Linked DNA regions of Saccharomyces cerevisiae S288C. Changing the gene in region 1 together with any one later gene gives a genetic interaction. Each region holds a gene or a part of one and is shown in the gene's direction. Other genes may lie near its edges. The genes, in order: MOT2, CCR4, BUR2 and RKR1.

Evidence for each region.
Region 2: mutations in MOT2 (region 1) and CCR4 are lethal when combined (synthetic lethality), as found in Saccharomyces cerevisiae (3 studies listed by BioGRID).
Region 3: mutations in MOT2 (region 1) and BUR2 are lethal when combined (synthetic lethality), as found in Saccharomyces cerevisiae (3 studies listed by BioGRID, with this or other methods).
Region 4: of MOT2 (region 1) and RKR1, changing one enhances a phenotype caused by changing the other (phenotypic enhancement), as found in Saccharomyces cerevisiae (3 studies listed by BioGRID, with this or other methods).

The regions. Positions count from the first base shown.
Region 1 is NC_001137.3:291,356-295,327, forward strand, and holds MOT2 (CCR4-NOT core ubiquitin-protein ligase subunit MOT2), read left to right. Parts: upstream 1-1,694; coding exon 1,695-3,458; downstream 3,459-3,972. Other genes in the region: RGI1 (Rgi1p), read left to right, coding at 711-1,196. UniProt on the Saccharomyces cerevisiae protein: E3 ubiquitin-protein ligase component of the CCR4-NOT core complex, which in the nucleus seems to be a general transcription factor, and in the cytoplasm the major mRNA deadenylase involved in mRNA turnover.
Region 2 is NC_001133.9:110,339-114,944, reverse strand, and holds CCR4 (CCR4-NOT core exoribonuclease subunit CCR4), read left to right. Parts: upstream 1-1,585; coding exon 1,586-4,099; downstream 4,100-4,606. Other genes in the region: DNA-dependent ATPase FUN30, read right to left, coding at 1-26; ATS1 (Ats1p), read left to right, coding at 330-1,331; nucleoside transmembrane transporter FUN26, read left to right, coding at 4,515-4,606. UniProt on the Saccharomyces cerevisiae protein: Acts as a catalytic component of the CCR4-NOT core complex, which in the nucleus seems to be a general transcription factor, and in the cytoplasm the major mRNA deadenylase involved in mRNA turnover.
Region 3 is NC_001144.5:587,370-591,092, forward strand, and holds BUR2 (Bur2p), read left to right. Parts: upstream 1-1,984; coding exon 1,985-3,172; downstream 3,173-3,723. Other genes in the region: UCC1 (Ucc1p), read left to right, coding at 1-204; YLR225C (uncharacterized protein), read right to left, coding at 326-1,549; ADY4 (Ady4p), read right to left, coding at 3,193-3,723. UniProt on the Saccharomyces cerevisiae protein: Component of the BUR kinase complex involved in transcription regulation.
Region 4 is NC_001145.3:762,830-770,030, reverse strand, and holds RKR1 (ubiquitin-protein ligase RKR1), read left to right. Parts: upstream 1-1,991; coding exon 1,992-6,680; downstream 6,681-7,201. Other genes in the region: YMR247W-A (uncharacterized protein), read right to left, coding at 605-748. UniProt on the Saccharomyces cerevisiae protein: E3 ubiquitin-protein ligase component of the ribosome quality control complex (RQC), a ribosome-associated complex that mediates ubiquitination and extraction of incompletely synthesized nascent chains for proteasomal degradation.

The DNA.
Region 1 (3,972 bases):
ATCACCCTTAATCTGAAATATGTAATGATGACGGTGCAGTATGTTGACTACATTGTAAAGTTGCACTTTCACTCAACTCATGAAATTGATGACATTAATCCTACGTGACTTACACATATGCCATGAACGAAGAAGGTGGCACCAAAAATCCAGCGTTTCCGATATACACGCAGTCAAATGTTCAGACTAAACTTTGGTATTCTGACAACGTGTTGTCATACCTGTTACGAGCCAGAAACGTATTTCTTTTTGGGTGATACAATCTCCAGATGACTGCTTTTTTTTTTTTTACCCCAGATTCAGGGGCCGAAGGAACGGAAATGCGGTGTGGCGAGATTGCGGATGTGCTAAAAAATAATATCCTCGAGGCAACCAGCATAATGTGGACGGCTCTCGGCAATTGACTTCCATAACAAATGCATCCTGTAATCAGGGGTATTATAAGTTACTGTATGGTTAATTAAATATAGAATGAAAGGGGCAGCGTTCTTAAGGGGTATTGCTGGGTGGAAAAATACAAGTGTCTTTACTTGATTGTGTGCACATATATAAGGCAAAAGATTTCTAGCGTATATTTGAATCTTTTGTTCTTCCACGTTCAAATTTCTTTGGTCAAAACATTTCATAAAGGGACAAGTTCTGCATTGTATTCTAATAATTGCCCATAGAACATATAAATTAGGTATCGACTGTTTTCGTCTCCACTTTAAATGACAAAGAAGGATAAGAAGGAAGTAAAAGTTCAAACGGTTACCACGGAGGATGGTGAAACCGTGAAAGTTTTTGAAGACCTGCAGGGTTTTGAAACTTTCATTGCCAATGAAACTGAAGATGATGATTTCGATCATTTGCACTGTAAATTAAATTACTACCCACCATTTGTGCTACACGAGTCGCACGAGGACCCTGAAAAAATTAGTGATGCTGCAAATTCTCATTCTAAGAAGTTCGTGCGTCACCTGCACCAGCATATTGAAAAGCATCTTTTGAAAGATATTAAGCAAGCCGTTAGGAAACCTGAGCTTAAATTTCACGAAAAATCGAAGGAAGAGACATTTGATAAAATCACCTGGCATTACGGTGAGGAAACTGAATACCATGGTAGACCTTTCAAGATAGACGTTCAAGTAGTTTGCACACATGAAGATGCTATGGTATTTGTCGATTACAAAACACATCCTGTAGGCGCAAATTAAAGGTTGTGTCATAGAGAATGTGTTAGTACTGAATCCTAACCTCCCAAATTCATAAGTAGTTTTATGTACCTTTAATGATTTACGATTAGCAACTTTTTGAATTTTTTTTATTGAAATGTTGAGCCCGAAGACGTGAAACGCTATAAAGTAGTATCACTGTTACGCCGCGAAACCTGATAATGTATTGTTAAACTACTACCTGGTCGATGATTATATCGACGCTTCTAAAATGAATGCTATTACCCGAACTTCCACTTGATTGCCGTCTCTTCCCGGGTAACATTGTAAGTGTGAATATGATTTTTTTTTTTGCTTTCTCTTTTCAAAATTTCCGAAAAGCATATCAAGACGTGTACTACATACAGTAAAAGCCCTCCTAGGGTTTTCAGTAGTGGTTCGAATAGTATAGATTACTGCTTTTGTTACTCTGCAACAATCCCAAAACTTAATAAAAAGTACAAAAGACCAAATAAAAGTATCGTATATAATCCAGTCATAATGATGAATCCACACGTTCAAGAAAATTTGCAAGCAATCCACAACGCCTTAAGCAATTTTGATACGTCATTTTTATCGGAGGATGAAGAAGATTATTGCCCTCTTTGTATTGAACCAATGGATATTACTGATAAAAATTTTTTTCCTTGTCCCTGTGGTTATCAAATTTGTCAATTTTGCTACAATAATATCAGACAAAATCCAGAATTAAATGGCCGTTGCCCAGCATGTCGTCGTAAATATGATGACGAGAACGTCAGATACGTCACATTATCTCCGGAGGAGTTAAAAATGGAGAGAGCCAAGCTCGCTAGGAAGGAGAAAGAAAGAAAGCATAGAGAAAAAGAACGTAAAGAGAATGAATATACGAATAGGAAACATTTATCTGGTACCAGAGTTATCCAAAAGAATTTAGTGTACGTTGTTGGCATCAATCCTCCTGTTCCATACGAGGAAGTTGCGCCCACTCTGAAATCTGAAAAATATTTTGGCCAATATGGTAAGATAAATAAGATTGTGGTTAATAGAAAAACACCCCATTCTAACAACACAACCAGCGAGCATTATCACCATCATTCACCAGGATATGGCGTTTACATAACCTTCGGATCCAAGGACGATGCTGCAAGATGTATAGCTCAGGTAGACGGGACGTATATGGATGGCCGCCTGATCAAAGCTGCCTACGGTACTACTAAATACTGTTCTTCTTATTTAAGAGGATTGCCATGCCCAAATCCCAACTGTATGTTTTTGCATGAACCTGGTGAAGAAGCTGATTCTTTTAATAAAAGAGAACTCCACAATAAACAACAAGCGCAACAGCAAAGTGGCGGAACTGCATTCACTAGATCTGGAATACACAACAATATATCTACCAGTACCGCTGGTTCAAATACCAATTTACTAAGTGAAAATTTCACAGGCACACCTTCACCGGCGGCGATGAGGGCTCAGTTACATCATGACAGCCATACAAACGCTGGAACACCGGTATTAACACCTGCTCCGGTCCCTGCAGGGTCAAATCCTTGGGGAGTTACTCAATCAGCAACACCTGTAACCTCTATCAATCTCTCTAAAAACAGCAGCTCCATAAACTTGCCAACATTAAATGATTCTCTGGGCCATCATACTACCCCCACAACAGAGAATACCATCACAAGTACGACAACTACTACCAATACCAATGCTACAAGTCACTCCCATGGTAGCAAGAAGAAGCAATCTCTTGCTGCAGAGGAATACAAAGATCCTTATGACGCACTAGGGAATGCTGTTGACTTTTTGGATGCAAGACTACATTCTCTATCAAATTATCAGAAGCGCCCTATATCTATCAAATCCAATATTATTGACGAAGAAACTTATAAAAAGTATCCGTCTTTGTTTTCTTGGGACAAGATTGAGGCCTCAAAGAAAAGTGACAATACATTAGCCAACAAACTTGTGGAGATCCTGGCTATAAAGCCAATAGACTACACTGCTTCTGTCGTTCAATTCTTGCAGAGTGTCAATGTTGGTGTAAATGACAATATTACAATCACAGATAATACGAAAACTCCCACCCAACCAATAAGACTGCAAACCGTCTCACAGCAAATCCAACCACCATTAAACGTCAGTACCCCTCCACCGGGTATCTTTGGTCCACAACATAAGGTTCCTATTCAGCAGCAACAAATGGGTGATACAAGCTCAAGAAATTCCTCTGATTTACTAAATCAACTAATCAACGGAAGGAAAATTATCGCCGGTAATTAATCCGACTCTAAATATTTTTCTTGTTTGCATTAACCATAATTTTATCTATTTTTATTTCTCATGAATATATAATCTCTCCGTTTATAACGAAATGCAAGAAAAAAAAATCTCACCCATTTTTTTAAACCTTTGACGTGGAAAGGTATCTGGGAAAGGTATCTGGCTAATGAATAATGCCATAGCATATACCAGTATAGTCTATTTACTCGTTACAACGTATGAAAGCGTCAGCGCTGCAAGAATGACTAATTCATAGAAAATAATCATCATGATATATATCATAATGCACGGAACCTGCTTCGCTAATTTTTTCACTTAAATCACATTTTTTCAACGAAATCTCTTGCGCAGTTGGTTGGAATTCTTATCCGAATGACTCAGTCTACATCAAAAAACTGTGGCCGAATGGTGGTAATTGATGACTCTTCTATTTTTTTTTTTCATATAAAGAGCTTGCGCGCGTGTTGTTGTTCGCTATCCATTTCCATTAGGAACATTTTTGGATATTATTTTT
Region 2 (4,606 bases), on another chromosome or scaffold:
TCATCATTTGAATGCGAACCACTCATGTTTTCAACTATAGCGTATTTTCTCTCTTTTTCTTGTTTACGTTCCTTACTGTAGATAGTCGGGTGTCCACCAGTAGCAACAAACTCGAATATAGAGCACTATAGCACACGCCAGTACTGATTTAAGTTACGTGTTGCATTGCGAGATGGGCTCATGATCTCTTTTAATCCTACAAAGTGAAAAATTATGAAAAATTTCGCGGCGACGGGGGTAACGCAGCCGTTTGAGCCTTGATAATGCAGGCAGATCCAAAGCGCAAGTGATGGAATGTGATCATTAAAGGCTATAACAGGCTTGTATCGATGAGTTGTGTGTATGCGTTTGGGTCTAATGGGCAAAGGCAACTGGGACTGGGGCACGATGAGGATATGGATACCCCACAGAGGTCTGTGCCAGGAGATGATGGAGCAATAGTCAGGAAGATAGCGTGCGGTGGGAACCACAGCGTGATGCTGACAAATGACGGGAATCTGGTAGGATGTGGAGATAACAGACGGGGAGAACTGGATAGTGCGCAAGCACTGCGGCAGGTGCATGACTGGAGGCCCGTGGAAGTACCGGCACCCGTGGTGGATGTGGCGTGCGGCTGGGACACGACAGTTATTGTGGATGCTGATGGCCGTGTATGGCAGAGAGGAGGCGGTTGCTACGAGTTCACTCAGCAACATGTGCCATTGAATTCCAACGATGAGCGCATCGCAGTATACGGATGTTTCCAGAACTTTGTGGTGGTGCAAGGCACCCGAGTATACGGCTGGGGCAGCAACACAAAGTGTCAATTGCAAGAGCCCAAATCCCGATCACTGAAAGAGCCCGTATTGGTGTACGATACCGGGTCTGTGGCCGTAGACTACGTGGCCATGGGCAAGGACTTCATGGTCATAGTGGACGAGGGCGGCCGCATAGTGCACGCATCCGGTCGCCTGCCCACTGGGTTCGAGCTCAAACAACAGCAAAAAAGACACAATCTAGTGGTACTGTGCATGTGGACCTCGATCCACCTGTGGAATGCGCGCCTCAATACGGTAGAGTCGTTTGGTAGGGGCACACATTCCCAACTCTTCCCGCAAGAGCGCCTAGACTTCCCTATTGTCGGTGTTGCAACCGGGAGTGAGCACGGTATTCTAACTACTGCTAATCAAGAAGGCAAGTCTCACTGTTACAATGTATACTGCTGGGGCTGGGGAGAGCATGGCAACTGCGGCCCGCAAAAGGGCTCCCAGCCTGGACTGCAGCTCGTGGGCCAATACTCTGGAAAACCTCGCGTGTTTGGCGGATGTGCCACCACGTGGATCGTGCTCTAGCACTGATAAGTAACTATATACCCACTATCATATACATAGATGTCCATTCAGCATTAATTCTCATCGTGGTAGATCTCAAAGGTAAAGTAGCCGTTTAGGCCTTTTGTTATCGCCCGTACTTGCGAAAAACGGGCCAACAACGAAAAAATTTGAAAAAGTTTCCACCTTAGAGAAGGTTCTCAAGCACAAGGGCACAGCATAAGGGACACCAGCAAGGGAACTCCGACTGACGTTATCCCTGCAAACTACCGCTAATGAACGACCCTTCTTTACTAGGCTACCCTAATGTGGGCCCGCAGCAGCAACAGCAACAGCAGCAACAGCAGCATGCCGGGCTACTAGGAAAGGGTACACCAAACGCTCTACAGCAGCAGCTACACATGAACCAGCTCACCGGGATACCTCCACCGGGACTCATGAACAACAGCGATGTACACACTTCCAGCAACAACAACTCGCGCCAGTTGCTCGACCAATTGGCTAATGGGAACGCGAACATGCTCAATATGAACATGGATAACAACAATAACAACAATAACAACAACAACAACAACAACAACAACGGCGGTGGAAGCGGGGTGATGATGAATGCCTCCACAGCCGCAGTAAATTCTATAGGGATGGTTCCTACCGTTGGTACGCCTGTGAACATCAATGTGAACGCCAGTAACCCTTTATTACACCCGCACTTGGATGACCCTTCTTTACTAAACAATCCGATCTGGAAGCTTCAATTGCATCTGGCTGCAGTGTCCGCACAATCTCTGGGGCAACCCAACATTTATGCTAGACAAAACGCTATGAAGAAGTATTTGGCTACACAACAGGCTCAGCAAGCTCAGCAACAAGCGCAGCAACAGGCACAGCAGCAGGTCCCGGGCCCATTTGGCCCCGGACCTCAGGCTGCACCACCAGCTTTGCAGCCCACCGATTTCCAGCAATCTCACATTGCAGAAGCCTCCAAATCACTGGTAGACTGCACAAAGCAAGCCTTGATGGAAATGGCCGACACTCTCACCGACAGCAAGACAGCAAAGAAACAACAACCTACGGGAGATAGCACTCCCTCAGGCACGGCAACTAACAGTGCAGTTTCTACACCATTGACTCCCAAGATAGAGCTGTTTGCTAATGGCAAGGACGAAGCCAACCAGGCGCTCTTACAACACAAGAAACTGTCTCAGTACAGCATCGACGAAGATGACGACATTGAAAACAGAATGGTCATGCCCAAGGACTCGAAATACGACGACCAATTATGGCACGCGCTAGATTTGTCCAACTTGCAAATCTTCAATATCAGCGCCAACATCTTCAAGTACGATTTTCTAACGAGACTATATTTGAATGGCAATAGCCTCACGGAACTGCCAGCGGAGATCAAGAACCTAAGCAACCTACGCGTTTTGGACCTGTCGCATAATAGGTTAACATCTCTACCAGCGGAACTAGGCTCATGTTTCCAATTGAAATACTTCTACTTTTTTGATAACATGGTCACCACATTACCATGGGAGTTTGGGAACCTGTGTAACCTTCAGTTTCTTGGTGTAGAAGGAAACCCCTTAGAAAAACAGTTTTTAAAGATCCTTACAGAAAAATCTGTCACGGGATTGATTTTCTACCTAAGGGACAACAGACCAGAGATTCCCTTACCGCATGAACGTAGGTTCATCGAAATCAATACCGATGGGGAACCACAGAGGGAGTACGATTCTTTGCAGCAATCCACTGAGCATCTGGCCACCGATTTAGCCAAGAGGACGTTCACCGTCTTATCCTACAACACCTTATGTCAACACTATGCCACCCCAAAAATGTACCGTTACACACCGTCGTGGGCGTTAAGTTGGGATTACAGGCGCAATAAATTAAAGGAGCAGATTCTCTCGTACGACAGTGATCTGTTGTGTTTACAAGAAGTGGAGTCTAAGACTTTTGAAGAGTATTGGGTGCCCCTATTGGACAAGCACGGTTATACAGGCATCTTCCATGCAAAGGCAAGAGCCAAGACCATGCATTCCAAGGACTCCAAGAAAGTGGACGGGTGTTGCATTTTTTTCAAAAGGGACCAATTCAAGTTGATCACCAAAGACGCCATGGATTTCAGCGGTGCTTGGATGAAACACAAGAAGTTCCAAAGAACTGAAGATTATTTAAACCGTGCAATGAACAAAGACAACGTTGCACTGTTCTTAAAGCTACAACACATTCCTAGTGGCGACACCATATGGGCGGTCACCACGCATTTGCACTGGGATCCAAAATTTAATGATGTCAAGACATTCCAAGTAGGTGTCCTGTTAGATCATCTGGAAACGCTGCTAAAGGAGGAGACATCGCACAATTTTAGACAGGACATTAAGAAATTTCCTGTGCTCATTTGTGGTGACTTCAATTCATACATCAACTCCGCCGTATACGAATTGATAAATACAGGCCGTGTCCAAATACATCAAGAGGGAAATGGTAGAGATTTCGGTTACATGTCGGAGAAAAATTTCTCACATAACTTGGCTCTCAAATCAAGTTATAATTGTATCGGAGAACTACCATTCACCAATTTCACACCGTCATTCACAGATGTTATCGACTATATATGGTTTTCTACACATGCTCTAAGGGTGCGTGGGCTATTGGGTGAAGTGGACCCTGAATACGTGAGTAAGTTTATCGGGTTCCCCAACGACAAATTCCCCAGTGACCATATACCATTGTTAGCAAGATTTGAATTTATGAAGACAAACACAGGCAGTAAGAAAGTATAAACCGCACACTTTCATCCCACTCCCTCCCTCCTCTCTGTACACTACCTCATTATAAAATTGAAACGATCCCAATCTCACCGCACTTCCCATAAAGCCTTCACGTTATACTTTTTTTTCTCATCTTTTTTTTCTCTCTCTCTCTCTCTCTCTTTTGCGTATCTTTTTCGTCCTGTTTCTTTCTTACTTAAGTATCTTTTTATAATATTTAAGAGAGCCAAAATTATTTAACCAAACCAAGAATCTTGTATTCTATAACGAATCCTTAATTCTTCTTGTTGTTATTAATGCCAAAAACAGAATTAATTTCCCGAAAAAGAAAAAAAAATTGACTTAAAAAATCATAGGAAAGGATGAATGATTTACGTTACGGCGACAGCTTATCATCAAACGCAAGAAAGCATACCAGATTGCAAAAATGAGTACTAGTGCGGACACTGATACCATCAAGAAGCCAATCCTTGCGGTGCCAGAGCCTGCACTGGCCGATACGCATTCAGAGGAGATATC
Region 3 (3,723 bases), on another chromosome or scaffold:
TCATACCAGTTTGCATGGAGTTTGGCCTGCTTACAATCTGAAGAGAAAATTTCATTTCCTAGAGACACGATAATTGGGCACGGTTTACCTTACAAGCCATCCAAATTGATAAGAATTTTCGTCTACAAGCATCCGGAACAAAAGCAAGATCTTGGTCAAGAAATAGCATTGCCCAACTGGAATACCCCTTATCTTCGAAGATGAAAAAAAAATTTATCAATTAGTCTATAATATATGTGTATATACGTCTATGCACCTACCTACTTATAAATGGATATAATATTCTTGCAATGATGAAAATATGTATAGTCAAATTTCATTTTTTTCAATTGATAAATGTACTTTCAATGATGGAAACTCCTTCATCGTCATCGAATTTAGACTTCTGGCAGAATTGGTAAATGAATGGCTTCATGTTTGCCAGATTTTCAGCAATAGACCTAATGAAAGCGGGCAGCTCACTCATTATATCGTACCTATTGACTAATCTTAAATTAGATTCTTCAAAACCACGCGGAAATGAAATGGATGTAGGATATTTCCAACCATTTTGCTTATCCTCTTTTGTAGATGGAAATTTAACAGCATGATCATTTACACTTGACCCGACCTCCAAAATTTTGTCCTTATCACTAACCGCCCATATAGTCACTGTAGTGCTGCCATATTCTTTTGTTGTGGTGAATTCAATACACATCATCGAACGCTTCTCACCATTGAAACAAAGAAAATTCCATTTACTAGCCGCCTTATTGGGTATTAGCCCCTGGACAGCATCCAGATACAACATAGGCGTGTCCTTCAAGTCCAGCTTCACAGGTTTATCGTTTTTCTTGTATGAGATGGTACCATTGCAAAAACCTCTAGGAACAAAAACATGTCTTATCATTTTTCTGGACGTACTAGAAGAGTCTCTTTTTGCTAACTCTTCCAAGCTGATGCTCTTGTCAAGGTAATAATTGGAACCGTCCGGGTTTATTATGAATCCTTCTTGTAAATTTACGGTAATGTCAACCTTCAAATCTTTTAGTAAACAGCTTGTACTTCCCTTCGGAATATCTATCTTAATTAATAATTGAGCAAATCCACTGGAGGAAGAATTTTCCAAAGGTACGAAGTGAAACGTAACATTGTCCGATTCAACTTTTAACGTATCAAAATCTTTGATATTATCAATTTTAAAGCTTTCCCATATATCAATGTCTTCTTCAGAGTTTTCCTCACTGCTGGCTTTAAATATTTTGAAATTTAACTGAAAACCTTTGTATATACCGCCCATAACACTGGAATATAATAGTTGAATTAATCCACATTTGCCGTTGGTGAGATCCGTAAAATACAGAGTTTGTGTCTCTATTCTTGTTTCCGTTGGATTTCTTACTGCTTTTAATAAACTATGTGACTTGAACTTTTTGTGATTTGACGTCCTGCAAAACCATTCTAGTTTCGATGTATCCTGAAATTTAGTATAATTAGCATGATCCTTCTCGGATAAAACTTCCTTAACGGGGGCAAATTTCGTCTTCTCCTTTTTGATCGCAACCGCCATTTTTTCTTTGCTCTATGATTTTTATGTTAATTAAACTGTTCGTTGCCCTAAAATTTTGAAAATTTCTCGAATATTTAGAGAGAATCCGTCACTATTTTAGTATCTATCTTGTCTATTTATATATAAAATCTCATTCCCCTGTTATGGTTTTTGCCAAGCCCTATCCCAAAAAACCAAATGATACATGATAAACCTATTTATCCTCTTTAACAGACCTATCGTTTAAAGCTTTTTTATTGCAAACCCTATTCATTATGGCTTTTTGACCTAGGTCTCATTGTGACTTCTATTTTTCACTGTTCAGTAAAAAAAGAAAAGTGATTAAAAAGTATCACTATTTCTGTTAGAAAGCAAGTAGCTATTTTGATTGGTAATTATATACACATATTGAAGGAGGCCGTAGTATTTTCGTTTAAAATATATTACAGTAAGATAATGTCTGCTACATCTTCAAGTGGTGACGTGAAAAAATTTCAAGCTGTACCAAAACCAACGAGCAATGCATCACCACCACCAGCATCGAGTGGGTTTAACGCAAGGACCCTATGGCCGGATTTGATAGAAACACCAGAAAACCAGTGGGTTTTTGAGTGCAAAGATATTATTGAAAAGATAGGCACTAATGGACCGATAGCAGTGGAAATAAAAAAAAATATGGAAAAATGCTTAATGTACTTTTACACACTTAAAAAAAAATTAAATCTTTTTGATCACACCTATACGGCATCATGCATTCTATTTTACAGGTATTGGTTCATATATGGAATACCTACAGCCATAACTGAATGTATTCATATATCACAGGGAATTCTGGTCACCGCTTGCAAAACAATGGAGAATAATAGGCCTATAGAGGCCTATATTAAGGCGACTTGTGAGTTTTTGATGCAAAATATACCGTCTTTAAAAAGTCGAACAAATATTGATAAACTTAAATGGGAATTTAGAGATAAGTTAGTGACGAATGAAAAAAAAATACTATGTTTATTTGGCTTTGACTTAAATATCAGTAATCCAAAAGAATTGATTGAAGAAGTGTTCAGTGGCTATTATAGATTCAACAGGGATCACAATCTGCCAGAAAACTTTAAAAAAGCTTTTCCAAAAATTCTTCAAGAATCAAGAAATTTTATGGTCCAAGCTGTCACCCAGCCAGTTTCTTTATTGTGCGACGGTTATACGTTCATTGTACTATCTCTCATATACTGTGGTTTAGAGTATAAAAAGCTTGTAGACAAAGATTTCAGATATCCGAAAAACTTCTTCAAGGATAGATTCCCTATCGAAGTAACGCCGGAAAATTTTGCCAATATCTTTACCGATTACAAGTTACTGGAAGAGAATTTTTTCAACTTAAAAAGTAATAAAGGTGCTAAATTACAAATTGATTCAAGCATGATTGATTCGGTGATTGACGAAAGTGGCGATGTGGAAAATGAAGTTTCAGAAATCTCTGATCCGTTTAACTACGAGTTGATTAAATCCGGTGAGGTGAAGGAAGAGTTTTTGAATCATATTGAAACAAGGGTTAAAGATTTACTAGATAAGGCTAAACAAGAAAGTATGAAGAGAAAGGCTAAAGATCCTATAAGAACCCCAGATGCCAAAAAACCTAAAATATAAAAATAGAGTACAAGTTATGTTTAATTGGAGGGATCAGTAAAGGTTTGATATATACGTGACAAAATGTCCGGCAAGTTCCCTATGTTATCCTGATAGCAATATTTCCAATACTCAATCCAATGATCATCTGTTTCTGGATCTTTAGGTGAGTCAAAGCGCAGTTTCTGCTTCAATTTTGTTTTCATCTTGTCTATTATTATTCTGGGATGTCTGAATTGGTAAGTTCGGGGATGATAATCGTCCAGAGATTCTGAACAGTCATTATCTTCGGATATTTTTTCAGCAACAAGTAATTTCCCCTCCATAGCAGTCAACAGTACCTTAGGTAGTTGGTAGTCAGTTACTTCATCAGGATTGTCACAAGCATCAATAATATTTTCGATGATACATAAGCATTCTATGGTCAATTTATCCATTTCAGATGATGCTTCGAATGTGTATTCATTATCTTGCATATAGTATAGTTTTAATACATAAAAAAACTGGATAACTTTAAATTGAACACCTGATGAAAGTAATAAGCCTTCCAGAATTTTATTCAAGCAGCATAT
Region 4 (7,201 bases), on another chromosome or scaffold:
TTTTTGGGTTAATTCTTGGCCTTGTGCTATAGCTAGCACGTCGTCGAATCCTAAGACCTTGTTTGAAAAGAATCGTCCAAAATGGGAGAACTGGCGCCAATGAATAAACCAGACGAAGGTATCACGAACATGTGCCAAAGCTTGTACCGGTACCAAATTATGCGAATGTCAGTCAGTAACAATGTCAGACCCTACTATCAACCCAGATGTAGCTCAAGTGGAACCTACTGTTCTCTCAAGCTTTTTAATAGAAACGCTCATAGAATATCATAGAGAGTTCAATAATAGCGGTATCATAGTTTATCTGATAACGTGCAAACTGTCCTGATCATGAAGCGGAGTTGAATGACAGGGTGATGGAATTGATGGCTAGTTGCTTTCGTATGCCTCGGTATAGGCATGCTAATGACACCCTAGGGTGGCTATTAGTATGTTGCAATGCCGAGAGGAGGTTGAATAACAATACCATTACATCAGCCGATAATATAGTGCATTGTATCAGCAAAATTAAGCAGTCAATTTATTTTTTTATCATTTAATGGCGATGGTTGGATAATTGTCTAAGAACAGTATTGAGTATTGCAATAAACCACTAAGGTTAGCCTCACGGCCAAACTATGTTGGTATCACTGTTACTAACAAGGTGGTTGTGTACGTGAAGGCAGATTGGCCTCAGAAGGCTCTTACCATTAAATAACAAGGCCATTATTCCACTCAATAGCTTGGCACTTGCACATTTGTGTGCCATTTACACTGAATGATTCATCTTTTTGATATCATGCAATATAATAATACAGGTGATAGAATGCGAAAAGCACGGGAAATAGGTGACTTTTGAGATAGTTGTTGAATACCATTTCCATAACAATACAATTTGGACAACATTATCTTATACCGAATATACCTTAAGTTTTACTCGAAAATATAGGAATCCATAAAAGGATCGATGATTCTTCATAATAATATTATGGTTTCTCGTTCCACTTTATATGTTGTCACTCATTATCCTATTGCATTATCAAGTCGTGCGTTCCACCCCCATTAAATTTGATGGCAGCTTTTAAATCTTTACCTTTATGCCATATTTCTACGTCGTATATGTAATAAGATGGATGCTAGACTATAGGGGGTAGGTGGTTCCTCTTCCGACATGTAGAGAATGTGGATTTTGATGTAATTGTTGGGATTCCATTGTGATTAAGGCTATAATATTAGGTATGTAGATATACTAGAAGTTCTCCTCGAGGATTTAGGAATCCATAAAAGGGAATCTGCAATTCTACACAATTCTATAAATATTATTATCATCGTTTTATATGTTAATATTCATTGATCCTATTACATTATCAATCCTTGCGTTTCAGCTTCCACTAATTTAGATGACTATTTCTCATCATTTGCGTCATCTTCTAACACCGTATATGATAATATACTAGTAACGTAAATACTAGTTAGTAGATGATAGTTGATTTTTATTCCAACACGACAATCATGAGTAATTACTTGATAGTGGATAGTAAGTTTTGATAGACACTTCCATTTTAAACTGATTTCACTTTTTACAGTGGCTAGAAATTACAATAAGAAATGGGCGTGTGGCGTAGTCGGTAGCGCGCTCCCTTAGCATGGGAGAGGTCTCCGGTTCGATTCCGGACTCGTCCAAATTTTTTGCTACTTTGCAATTAGTGTAACTTCATATTTAAAATTATAGTTAATCAAGAACAGAATATCGTCACAATGCTCTTTAAATGTTACGTACTTCTTACCTCCAGCTTGACTATATACTTGTCAATTCGAGTTAACCCAGATTATGCCCCAACATGGAAAACTGAAAAATATTGATGAAGCGAGGAAAAAAAACGTCATAGGAAAAATTCAAATGTTGCAACTTCAGATGGTTTTCTTCAATATATACAATACTGAAGAAGTCCTTCTTAATAGTTCAAATCTGCTAAGCCATCAAAAAAAGTTCAAGCAATAGTTGGTTCTTAATGTCGTTTGGTGGAATCAATACATTTCAACAGTATAACACAGATTTAGGGCTCGGCCATAATGGTGTTAGAATATCCTTAAACTACTTTGATGGTTTGCCGGATCCAAGTCTTTTAAACTCCTTGTACTCGAACGAGCTGAAACTCATTTTCAAATCTCTTCTGAAAAGAGATGAAACTACAAAAGAAAAAGCTTTAATGGATCTTTCCAATTTGATCAGCGACTTTAACCAGAATGAGTACTTTTTCAATGACATTTTTCTTCTTTGTTGGTCGCAGATATATGCTAAACTGATAATTAGTGATTACAAGGTCATCAGACTGCAATCACATCAAATTACTATAATGCTTGTCAAAAGCCTTCGGAAGAAAATATCGAAGTTTTTAAAGGATTTTATACCTTTGATACTTCTCGGTACATGCGAACTCGATTATAGTGTTTCCAAACCTTCTCTTAATGAATTAACAGAGTGTTTCAACAAAGACCCAGCAAAAATTAACGCCTTATGGGCTGTTTTTCAAGAACAACTATTGAATTTAGTAAAGGAGATTGTTGTAAACGAGAATGAAGATACCATTTCTGATGAACGTTACTCCAGTAAAGAAGAATCTGAGTTTAGATACCACAGAGTTATAGCAAGTGCCGTATTGCTGCTGATTAAGCTTTTTGTTCATAACAAAGACGTCTCAGAACGTAATTCTTCCAGTCTTAAGGTGATTCTTTCTGATGAGTCAATCTGGAAACTACTTAACTTAAAAAATGGGCAAAATACAAATGCCTACGAAACAGTTCTTCGATTGATTGATGTTCTTTATACAAGAGGTTACATGCCTTCCCACAAAAATATAATGAAGTTAGCGGTGAAAAAACTATTGAAATCGTTGACTCATATTACGTCAAAGAATATTCTAAAAGTATGCCCTGTTCTCCCATCAATACTGAACCTTTTAGCTACCTTGGATGACTATGAAGATGGGACAATATGGTCATACGATAAATCTTCTAAAGAAAAAGTACTCAAATTTTTATCGGTTTCCCGTACTTCACCATCGCCAGGATTTTTCAATGCTGTGTTTGCATTGTACAGCTCGACTAAAAGACACAGTTTTCTTGATTATTATCTTGAATGGCTTCCATTTTGGCAAAAATCGGTGCAAAGACTGAATGAAAAGGGCTTTTCTGCGAGAAACAGCGCTGAGGTTCTTAATGAGTTTTGGACAAATTTTTTGAAGTTCGCTGAGGATTCATCAGAAGAAAGAGTGAAAAAAATGGTGGAAAGTGAGATTTTTAACTCTCTGTCTTGCGGGAAATCTTTATCTGAGTACACAAAACTGAACCAGACTCTTAGTGGCGTCTTTCCACCCGATAAATGGGAGAGAGAGATTGAAGATTACTTCACTTCAGACGAAGACATAAGAAAAATAAAGGTGAGCTTTGAGAAGAATCTTTTTGCTTTATTGGTTACTTCTCCTAATAACGAATCCGCAATTAGTCGTTTATTCGATTTTTTTGTGCAATTAATCGAAACAGATCCCTCAAATGTTTTCAACAAATACGACGGTGTATATGATGCTCTCAATTACTTTTTAGATTCAGATATGATTTTCTTGAATGGGAAGATAGGGAAATTTATAAACGAAATTCCAACGTTGGTCCAAGAATCAACATATCAAAACTTTGCTGGTATCATGGCACAGTACTCAAACTCCAAATTTTTCAAAATGAATACTGACGCGATTACTTCGTTGGAAGACTTTTTTATCGTTGCGCTTTCTTTTAACTTACCAAAGACAATAATTTTAGCCACAATGAATGAGTTGGACAATGATATTTATCAACAATTAATGAAATCAGATTCCCTAGAATTAGAATTGTACATTGAAGACTTTATGAAAAATTATAAGTTTGACGACAGTGGGGAAATATTTAAAGGTAATAATAAATTTTTAAATCAAAGGACTATCACCACACTTTACCGAAGCGCAGTTGCCAATGGCCAAGTTGAACAATTTTGTGCTGTTTTGTCTAAATTAGATGAAACTTTTTTTTCAACGTTATTGCTGAATACCGATTTTCTTTCTTGTGCATTGTATGAAGTTTCAGAAGACACTAATGAGAAACTATTCAAGTTGTCATTACAGTTGGCTAAAGGGAATTCTGAAATCGCTAATAAGTTGGCCCAAGTGATTTTGCAACATGCTCAGGTTTATTTCAGCCCCGGGGCAAAAGAAAAATATGTCACACACGCCGTGGAGCTAATTAATGGCTGCAACGATACTTCTCAGATTTTTTTTCCCGCTAACGCAATCGAAGTTTTTGCCAGATATATGCCAGCAATTGATTATAGGTCATCCTTAGTGAGCAGCTTAAGTACTAACACGCATTTGCTCCTTACAGATGATAAGCCTATCAATTTAAAAAATATGCAAAAGCTCATCAGGTATGCTCTATTCTTAGATGCCCTACTTGATGCTCTTCCAGAGCGCGTTAATAACCATATTGTTGCATTTATAACTGTAGTTTCTGAGCTCGTCACTGATTATAATTGCCTTTCAGAGGAACCAAATGATCTTTACTATGATTTTGGGCATACCTTTTTCAAACATGGCAAAGTAAATTTGAACTTTTCTGATATTGTTGGAAACGTTATTCAGCCTGCTAATGGTGGTGATGCTATGCTTACTTTTGATATTGCTGAAAGTAATTCTGTCTACTTTTTTTATTATTCAAGAGTATTATATAAGGTTCTATTGAACAGCATTGATACTGTTTCATCCACCACATTAAATGGGCTATTAGCATCGGTTGAAAGTTTTGTCACGAAAACTGTGAGGGATCAAAAATCTACTGATAAAGATTATCTCCTATGTGCTATATTACTATTGATGTTTAACAGGTCCAACTCAAAAGATGAGATAACGAAATTAAGGACATTGCTGGCATCTCAATTGATTGGGATTAGAGAAGTAGAACTTGTCGATCAAGAATTCAAGTCGTTAGCTCTTTTAAATAATCTGCTGGATATCCCACAGGCAGATAAACAGTTTGTTCCTATAGCACCGCAGAGACTGAACATGATATTCCGTTCAATACTAAAATGGTTGGATAGTGATCTTGCCTACGAGCCTAGCTTTAGCACCGTTAGATTGTTACTACTAGATTTTTTCACCAAACTGATGAGGTTTGAAGGAGTCAGAGATATGGGCATAACAGCTTTTGAACTTTCGGAAAGGTTGCTGGCAGACTCTCTATCGATGTGTCAAATTGATGACACTTTATATTTGTTAGAACTTCGCTCTTCCTGTTTGAACTTATATGAAACATTGTCGCAAGGCGTTTCCAAAAATGGCGAGGAAATCTCAGAATATGGTGATGAAATTCAAGAAAATTTGATTGAACTGATGTTTCTCAACTTTAATCAAGAAAGAAATAACCAAGTATCCACACTCTTCTACCAGAAATTGTACAAGGTCATTTCCTCAATGGAACTCAAAAAGTTAGAATCTCAATACAAAAGAATATTCGAGGTTGTATTGAATGATAAGGATATCGGTAGTAATATTAATCAATCAAGATTATTAACTACTTTGTTGGGTTCTTTGGTGGTAAAAACACAGCAGGATATTATAATTGAGTATGAACTGAGGATTCAAAAACAAACTGGCTCAGACGTAGATGGTAGTGCATCTGATAATGATGTAAACTCAAAATTTAAACTACCTCAAAAATTATTACAAAAAGTTACTGATGAGGTGCCAAAAGAATACCTTGAATACGAGAATAAAAATTCATTTATTAAATATCTATGGTATTGGCACTTGATACTGATGTACTTCAAAGATACGTCTTATAATATGAGACAAATATTTATTGAACAATTAAAGGAAGCTGGTTTAATCAATAGAATGTTTGATTTCATAACAGATCAAATAGATTTAAGAGATACTGAGTTTTGGAAACAGGTCGACACCAAGGAAATTTCGGAATACAACATTGTCGGCAATAATTTCTCTCCTTATAAAGAAGACATATTTGAAGAATGTAAAAAACTTTTGGGCCATACACTTTATCAGTTGTTTAACAACGTCGGTTGTCTAACGAGTATTTGGTGGTTAAATATAAAAGATAGGACATTACAAAATGATATTGAAAAGTTTGTCTCAGAGTTCATCTCCCCAATTTTGATCAAAAATGAATTTGACGATATCAATTCTAAGATGGACCGCCTGACTTCTAATGATGATGCTTTGACTATTAAATTAAATAATATTACTAATGAAGTGAAGGCAAGCTATTTGATTGACGACCAAAAGTTGGAGATTTCCTTCAAACTACCAAAAAACTACCCTTTAACAAATATCCAAGTTAATGGCGTCTCTAGAGTTGGTATAAGTGAACAAAAATGGAAACAATGGATAATGTCTACACAACATGTAATTACAGGCATGAATGGATCCGTTTTGGATTCGTTGGAGTTGTTTACTAAAAATGTGCACTTACAATTTTCTGGTTTCGAGGAATGTGCCATATGTTACTCTATACTACATGCCGTGGATAGGAAACTACCTTCGAAGACATGTCCGACTTGTAAAAATAAGTTCCACGGAGCATGTCTTTACAAGTGGTTTCGATCATCGGGTAACAATACATGTCCATTATGCCGTAGTGAAATTCCATTTAGAAGGTAGACTATCGCATATAAATTTCATATAAATGTACTACATTTTTTAAACAAAGTTCCTTTTATTATTGTGCTCTCTTACAAATTATACAATCCAGCCCTATACCTTGCCAATCCAGCCCATCACCCGGATATTCTGGAAATTTTTTCTCTTCAGGATTTTTTCAGGATAAAAATCGAACTTGAAAGAAGAATGGTTTTTAGTTCAGGCCTTGTTTTCAGTTTTTAGCTACTAAAAGAGGGATAACCATTGATGAAATTCTATTGAATGTCCCCAATTTTCGGAAAAGGACTGCACCGAAATATTTCAATCAAAATCATTTATCGTTTTGTTTAGCTATTTTTTTCTCAAATTATCACTCTTTTCTTCCTTTTTCATTCTCTCAATTGTTCTTTTTATTTGAGGAAATTTGATTGTATTGCATATACAACTATGCGATGCACTTTGTTCATTTTAACTTTGGATATATGTGCCTTGCTATGAACGCGTTCATTTTTAAGTGACCGGACCCTAAAATATTCAGGTAG